Coturnix japonica: one gene and its partner. Each later gene encodes a partner of the first gene's protein in a complex. Links are inferred from orthologs where the notes say so. Each region holds a gene or a part of one and is shown on either strand. Other genes may lie near its edges. The genes, in order: POLE3 and POLE.

Evidence for each region.
Region 2: POLE3 (region 1) and POLE share a complex: the UniProt entries of both Homo sapiens proteins name them as parts of the DNA polymerase epsilon complex. The link is inferred for Coturnix japonica from reciprocal best matches to the Homo sapiens genes POLE3 and POLE.

What each region holds. Positions count from the first base shown.
Region 1 is NC_029532.1:789,360-793,680, reverse strand, and holds POLE3 (DNA polymerase epsilon subunit 3), read right to left. Parts: upstream 3,081-4,321; 5' UTR 3,011-3,080; coding exon 2,945-3,010; intron 2,870-2,944; exon of another isoform or gene 2,809-2,869; coding exon of another isoform or gene 2,752-2,808; exon of another isoform or gene 2,735-2,751; intron 2,669-2,734; coding exon 2,583-2,668; intron 2,398-2,582; coding exon 2,279-2,397; intron 1,790-2,278; coding exon 1,629-1,789; 3' UTR 652-1,628; downstream 1-651. Other genes in the region: ALAD (delta-aminolevulinic acid dehydratase), read right to left, coding at 422-485. UniProt on the Homo sapiens protein: Accessory component of the DNA polymerase epsilon complex. Participates in DNA repair and in chromosomal DNA replication.
Region 2 is NC_029530.1:8,898,096-8,901,902, reverse strand, and holds part of POLE (DNA polymerase epsilon catalytic subunit A), read left to right. Parts: intron 1-144; coding exon 145-247; intron 248-367; coding exon 368-514; intron 515-659; coding exon 660-805; intron 806-1,095; coding exon 1,096-1,244; intron 1,245-1,615; coding exon 1,616-1,708; intron 1,709-1,991; coding exon 1,992-2,136; intron 2,137-2,276; coding exon 2,277-2,434; intron 2,435-3,274; coding exon 3,275-3,470; intron 3,471-3,603; coding exon 3,604-3,807. UniProt on the Homo sapiens protein: Catalytic component of the DNA polymerase epsilon complex. Participates in chromosomal DNA replication.

The DNA of each region.
Region 1 (4,321 bases):
CACGTGTTCTTCCCTTCGGACCTCAAACCAGACACATCTTTCCCTCAGCTCCCCCCGGCCCGTCACAGCCACACGCCGTTACCGAACCCCCGGTGCCCGCCCGGTCCCAAGGGCACAACCCGGCTCTATCCAAGGTCTGTCCGTCCTTGATGCCGCCCTGGGCCCCGCACACCCCGACACCCGCCCGACCGTCTCCCCCGCCCGGCGGCGCTGCGGTTGCGCCGAGCCCGTGGGTGACGGAGCCCCCGGGGCCGAGCAGCACCGCCACAACGGGCCGGGCCCTATGGACACCTCCCGGCCCCGTAACGCTCCGTGCCGATCCGGGCACTGCGGGCCGCTCTCGGTGCGGTGTCGCCCGACTCCCCGCAATAACCCCGCAGCACCGGCCGAACCGCGCTCAGACCCGCGACCCCGCGCTCACCTGCCGCCGCTTCCCGCCGCAGCACACAGCCAGATTTGCATAGCCCCGCCCCCCTGATTTGCATATCACAAGTCTCGCGCGGCGGAGCGCGGGAAAGGGCTGGCGCGCGCTTGTCTTGGCGCGCTCCCGGTGGCGGGAATTTGGCTCGTGGGCGCTGTGTGACCTGAACCGCAACGCACTCACACCACGAACAGCTCATGGATTAACCATGGAAATCAACCAGTCAAGACCCGTAAAGAATCTGAACTTTTATTTAAATCCTGGTCCGGGACGGGATACACCCCAACAGGTACCAGAAAGCTCAATAACATGGAATAAAGCCCCCAGACATAGAAGGAAACCAGTAATGCAGCACCCAGCAGCACCCAGCAGCCTGTCTGCAGGAGCTGCAGCTCCACAGAGGAGGGGAAGGAGCTGAGACCATCAGCTGCAGCACAACACACACTTGCTGCAGCCTTTTGCTGTTCCTCGGACATAATTTTGCAGGTAGCTTTGCTTAAGGTCGTTCATCAAAGTTCCCTCTTTGTCTCCAAGGGCTTGAAAGACACAAAACAGCATTTCTGGTATAGATTCACTTTGGAAGCACCTTCAAGTCTTTTTTTGTTATTATTCTGGTTCATGGAGGGGAGGAATTCAGCTCACTGACCCTCGTACTGTGTGCTGCATCCAGCTGGTGAGGCTGAAAGAGCATCACTGTGAAAGAGCAGGGGAGAGAAGGCACAGCCAGAATGCAAGACAACGAAGGGAAAAACATCACTTAGAGCTTGAACAGTCAGCTTCTAAGGCTCTCAACATCATCACGTAGACTCTAAACCCTGAGGGGTTAATGAGCCAGGATTCAGCTCTCCGCTTGGTTGAGTGAGCTTATTCATAAGCTCTTTCAGGTTCTCCAGGTCACTTCAGTGCTGAGCCATCCGACATTGCTCTTTTTTCCCTTTGTTTCAGAGTCAATCCAGCATAAAAATACCAGACCCATTACTGTCTGTTCAGCACCTGGGGAAGCTGCCAAGTCCCCTGCGTGCAGGGAGGTGAGGCACCCATGAGAAATGCTTTAGCCAAGTCCTTTGTGTACAGGCTAAAGCCAAAGAGAGATTCCAGAAGAACAGTACAGAGCTCTACTGGAAACCAGACGGGACATGGCCAGATTTCTTTACAACATTTATATCCCTAGTAACAAAACCCAACCCTGAATGTCCCATTGGCAAGCTCAGTTGTCCACCTCTTCCTCATCATTTTGCTCTTCTTCCTCCATCCTTTCATCATCATCATCATTATCATCTTCTCGGCTCTTATCTTGTTCCTCTGAGTCTGCCTTCTTGTCTTTATCTTTTCTCGCTTCTTTCTTTCCCTTCTGTTCACGTCTGTAAACTACAAAGAAAAAGAAGAGTGAAAACCTGCAAGCCGGTGTTTCCACCACGTGAGCACTACAGCAGCTGGGGCCCAGTGTCCACTTAATGAACTCACAGCAGCAGCTCCCCCTATTATTAGAGCTGTGCTGTCCAGCCCGTGAGAAATCAGGTGAAGTTTCAGCAGATAAATGCTGAATAGGACACAGGATTTCACATGTGCAGGCAACACCTACGACTTCCCTTACACAGACCTAAGAGGGGACTGATAGCAGATAAGACTTTCTCAGTTCTCATCAGTGGTGAAATGTTATCCCAGCTGTTAAGGTGCACATTATTAACATCCACACAAGCTGCAGTGTAAGATGCCAAGCAAAGAAGTATTTGCAAACTCTTGCTTTTTTGCAAAGTCTTGTTTTTACAGGACAGACAATTAAGTGCTGCTTGTCTGATGTAAGCAAACAGAACTTGGTGCTATGGCAGCTCCGTCCATAGGGTCACAGGCCGATACCTTCCAGGGATTCCTTCAGAGGAGCAATAAACCGCTGGAACTCCATTTCCTCCATGGCAGAGAGCACATCGCCAGCATTCAGCGTCTTCCTCTTCCCCTTCATGGCAAAGTTATTCGCACTGCTCAAAAACAAGAAGAGTTAATGGATAACTGCCATCATTCACTCTTCTTTATTACAGTTCTAAACGTGTCCAGAGGGGGGCCACAAAAATACACGATGGATGCACACCCAGCAACGAGCCCCAGCCCAACCAGCAGAGATCTGAGTTACTAACAGCAGCTTATACACACAACAAGCTCTTACCATGAGGTCGCATAGAGCACGAACACACTCGCTGCTCGGGATATCGCACTGCGGGCTTCTTTGGAGATGTTCACCCCGTCGGGCAGCTGGGAAGCAAATAAAGACCCGTTAATCGCTGCTGGGAAGCAAATAAAGAGCTGTGAACTGATGCTTTAAAGCAAATAAAGACCCGTGAACTGATGCTGGAAACCAAACCCAGGCCTGTCAGCTGCTGCTCCGAGCACATATCGGTTCTGCTGTGGCACTGAGCTCAGCACGGCCCTCAGGTAAGGCATTACGAGCAGCACAACCCCACAACGAGGATCTATGAGGGACAGCGAGGTCTCCGTATGGCCCAGCCCCGCAGCCCGTCCCGCACCCACCGCCTCCTTGATGATGCGGGTGATGACGGCGTTGGGCAGGTTCAGGTCCTCCGGTCTCTCCGCCATATTGGGCCTCCCGCGCCGCCACGGCCCACAATGCACCGCTCCTTCCCGCCCTGCCCCGCGGCCGCCGTTGGGGGGGGGAACAATATGGCGGCGGGGGGCCAATATGGCTCATTCGGCCTCTGGAAAGAAAACGAACTGTGATGTGGTGGAACAAAGCAGCACTCCGTTATTCCTCACCACACATAGAATGTGACTTGACAGGACACACCACGCAGTACATCAGCATCCACATCCATCTTTCTCCCATAAACATGAGCTGATTGATGGCCCTTTGTGTGCTCAGTGCTCCCAGTGCCCACCATTGAGGGCTCTGACCCGCTGCCATCCACTGCCCCCAGCTCAGGAGACCCCCATTGCTCATAAAGCCTTGATAAGCTCAGCCTCACTAAAGCTGAACGTTTCCAGCCCATGGATTCCTTTTGCTGAACCAATAGATTGGTCACTAATCCCTATTGCTAAAGAAGAAGGTTGACCCAGTGCTGTGCTGGGTTGGTTGCTCCCGCTGCTGGAAAATGCATGTAGGAAAGCCTGCACTGCCAGATCCTGCTCCCAACTTCAGGTTTTTAAGCTAACTTTTAACTTTTTAAGCTAACTTCAGGTTGGGAGCAGGATCTGGCAGTGCAGGCTTTCCTACATGCATTTTCCAGCAGCAGGAGCAGCATTGGGGATGATGCACAGCAGTTGTGAGATGTATTAATAGCTGGACTTACAGCTCGTATTGGACACAGTAACGTGTTGTGGTGCTGCACAGCATTACGGACACACAAAGGTCAGAGCTGGAGGAAGGACTGTGTGCGTGACAGCGCTGATTGCTTTCCCACTTACAGTAATTGTGTTAATCAAAGCCTATCGTTGCGCACACAAACCGCTCTCAAATCTCGTTTCTAACTCTTCAATGTATTCTTCTGTTAACAATTCTTCTGCAGGGTCATTCGGCGGCTCTCAGGGGTGAAGTGCTGTAGCAGGTGTTGCATTACTTTTTAATGAAATAATGACCGATTGTAGCTGGTCCATTTGTAACTGTAACACACGCTGCTAATGCCCGCTTCTGGACCAGCTGGCGGCTCGCTGTTAGCAAAGCCATCAGAAGTTGATCTCTGTTTTGCCAGAAGGCGAGGTTATTTCCTATATGCATAACCTAAGAACAAAGCAAGGCAAACTTGTGTTATTGTGCAGTGGGGGTGGGCTGGAATAGAAGCAGAGATGATGTTGGTCCAGAGCCAGGGACAGACAAAGCTCCTCTGCTCCCAAATAAAGGCCAGGGAGTAATGCCAAGCTGTATTCTCAGCCCTTGCAGGCTTGTGAGCCCAT
Region 2 (3,807 bases), on another chromosome or scaffold:
TCAGGGCAGTCTCTGTTTTGTTGTCTCTTGTATTTGATCCCCTTGAACAGCAAGGGGTGAACTTTTGAGCTTAGGGCAGGGGGCATCAAATAAGGGTAGGGTTGAAACCAAGCGTCCTCTGATACCTGTGTGTCTCTTCCTTAGCCCTCAGCGATGGTGGATGAGGCCACGTGTGCTGCCTGTGACTTCAACAAGCCAGGGGCCAACTGCCAGCGCCGGATGACGTGGCAGTGGAGAGGAGAATTCAGTGAGTACAACGGATACCTCACTGTCCCACTCAGTGAGGCCGAGTGCACTAGAGACCTTGTTGTCCCATTGGATGATGCTGAGGCTGATTCCTGCTTCTCCTCTGTTGCCCTCCTTGCAGTGCCTGCGAGCCGCAGTGAGTATCACCGCATCCAGCAGCAGCTGGAGTCAGAAAAGTTCCCTCCACTGTTCCCTGATGGAGCACCACGTGCTTTCCACGAGCTCTCCCGAGAGGAACAAGCCAAGTATGAGAAGAAGCGGCTGGCAGGTAAGAGTTAATATCATGAGCTGAGGCACAAATCAATGCTGTTCAGCCAGAACCTCATGCAGTTCTGTCCACCCCCTCTGTGTGTCCACCTCCTCCATCCATGGTGGGCACCAACTGAGAAACAACCTGTTATGCCCTTGAGCAGATTACTGCCGCAAAGCCTACAAGAAGATCCACGTCACCAAGGTGGAGGAGAGGGTCACCACCATCTGCCAACGAGAGAACTCCTTCTATGTGGACACGGTGCGAGCTTTCAGGGACCGCCGCTATGAGTTCAAGGGGCTGCACAAGGTATTGGGCTGAGTCCTGCTTTCGTTGTCCTACTGGGGATGGGGAGTTCTCACCAACTGCTGTAAGCCTGAGCACTGAAGGATGGGTTTGTTCAGCCTTTGTACTGAGTAGGGAAATCATAGAATGGTTTGAGTTAGAAGGGACCTTTAAAGGCCATCATGTCCAACTCCTCTGCAATGAACAGGGCCACCTACAGCTGATCAGGTGCTCAGGGCCCGGCCCAACATGACCTTGGGTGTCTCCAAAGACGGGGCACCCACCACCTCTCCAACTTTGCCTGTTGCTCCCAGGTGTGGAAGAAGAAGCTGTCTGCAGCCATGGAGACAGGAGATGCCTCTGAAGTGAAACGCTGCAAGAACATGGAGATCCTCTACGACTCCCTGCAGCTGGCACACAAATGCATTCTCAATTCTTTCTATGGCTATGTCATGCGGAAAGGGTGAGTCTGAGCCGGCGTTGTTGCTGAGTCCTCCAGAGAACACCCAGGATTGTTTTGGGGAGGCTGCCACTTGCTTCACCTGTTTCCATAGCACAGGGATGGGTGATCCCTGGAACACTTCTCTCTTGCTTCTATTAATGGCTTCTGATCTTTGAGACCTGTAGTGTTGAGCAGCAAGGGGCGGCAGTCTTCTCTATCAGTGTTTTCTCAGATTCTCTAAAAAACCATTAAGAAGGAAAGGAAAGCAATCTACCAAGGCACAGTGCTGCCTTGTTCCTTGCTCTTCTCCTTCTGGATGCCTTCCTGCCCTTTCCCATAGCTGGCTGCAGGGTAGCACTGCATCCCCTTCACCTGGACTCCTCTGTTCCCAGAGCTCGATGGTACTCCATGGAAATGGCCGGGATCGTCTGCTTCACTGGGGCCAATATCATCACACAGGCCAGGGAACTGATTGAGCAGATTGGGTGAGTATGTGCTGAGCTGGGAAAGAAAGGTTCTTCTGCACACAGTGAGAGTGGGGTTTGAGTGTGGAGCATAGAACCAATGGGAGCATATTAGATGCTGAAAGTGTTTCGTGTTGAAGATTCAGATTGCTGGCATTGGTGGTTGTGGTTTTTCTGCTGCCTTACAAGGGCTCACTTTGCAGAAGGGACAGGATAGTGAAGCAAGAGGCTGTGTCCCCCATACAAGCAGCAGCAGAGCTGTTATATGGTATCAGCTTCTGATTTCCTGAGTGATCTTCCTTAGGAGACCTCTGGAACTGGATACAGATGGGATTTGGTGCGTCCTCCCCAACAGCTTCCCAGAAAACTTTGTCATCAAGTCAACCAATGCCAAGAAGCCAAAGGTGACAATCTCTTACCCAGGTGCTATGCTGAACATCCTGGTGAAGGTGAGTCTCACACCCATCCCAGCCAGCTCTGCAGTCTGGGGAAATGAATGGAGGACTGACAAGGAGAGAAAGTGTGGTATCTCCTGGTAGAACCAGCCCAGCTGTTGAGTCAGTCTGTTCTTTTGGGGCTGTGCCTGCAGGAAGGCTTCACAAATGATCAGTACCAGGAGCTGCAGGACCCAGCCTCTCTTACCTACATCACACGCTCAGAGAACAGCATCTTCTTTGAAGTGGATGGGCCATACCTGGCCATGATCCTCCCAGCTTCCAAGGAGGAGGGAAAGAAGCTGAAGAAAAGGTAGGACTCAAAGCTTGAAATATAGGAAAGCGATTGTCATCAAATACCACTGACTTTTCCACAGCAACCTGTGTAGGAACACCAGCAATGTCCAGCTATGGAGGTGCCTGTGGACCTGGGTCTGAACTCAGAAAAGCCATTTCCATCCTCCAGGACCCTCTGTCCTTAAAATGCTCAGCCTGGCTGTGCTCTCTGCACATCAGACAAGTTCTAACGTCTGCCATCCCCTGTCAGTGCCTTTCCATGCCATGTCTGTGCCATAGGAATGAAACTGATGCCAAGCACTGAATGGATGCTGTACACAGGGCCCCTTCCTCAGGGCCTCCTTATTCCCTGTGGTTTCTGGGTGTTGTCGGCAAAGGAGTTTATTCCTTGGTTGTGCTCAAATGGAAATAACCTGAAGCTTACTGGTAGGCACCATCAATGGTGGAGGAAGAGAAGGCTGCATCCATACTGATGAGTTGGGCAGTCAAAGTAACGTGGGCTTGAGTATCATTGCTATTCTGTTAGCTGAGTGTTCTGTAAGATTTATCTTGAGACATGCATACAAATAAAGGGTAGGGATAAGCAAAGAAAGGGAGGAGGGTAGCGTATTCTTATAACCTCATCAGTAGCTACATCCAGCTTCCTCTGAATCATTTCACTAAGCTTACGAACCTTCCTTCTTTTCTCTAAAGCTCTTCCTGATATCTCCCCCTGCATCTCCCCCACCTTACCCTGTCTCACCTCCTGGCCTTTACTGATGTGCAGTTTGGAACATTCCCCCACTTGGTACTGATGGACTGGGGCACAAACTGTTGTGCTTTCACAGCCCAAAATGAAACAATCCATGTACCCCAGGTATGCAGTGTTCAATGAAGATGGGTCCCTGGCTGAGCTGAAGGGCTTTGAGGTGAAGCGCCGAGGTGAGCTGCAGCTGGTGAAGATATTCCAGTCTTCTGTATTCGAGGCCTTCCTCAAAGGCACCACCCTGGAGGAGGTCTATGCTTCTGTGGCCAAGGTGGCTGACTACTGGCTGGATGTACTGTACAGCAAGGTACACATTGCTTTGCAGGTTGGCTGCCCCCTGCATCCCTAAAGTGGTGTAAAAGAAGGTGTAAGAGCTGGTTGGATGCTGCGATGTTAAATCACCAAACTCTTGCTGTGTATTTGTTCCCCCCTGCCTTCAGGCTGCCAACATGCCCGATTCGGAGCTGTTTGAGCTCATCTCAGAGAACCGTTCCATGTCTCGCAAGCTGGAGGACTATGGGGAGCAGAAATCCACCTCCATCAGCACTGCCAAGCGCCTGGCAGAGTTCCTGGGGGACCAGATGGTGAAGGATGCAGGGCTGAGCTGCCGCTTCATCATCTCAAAGAAACCCGAGGGCTCTCCT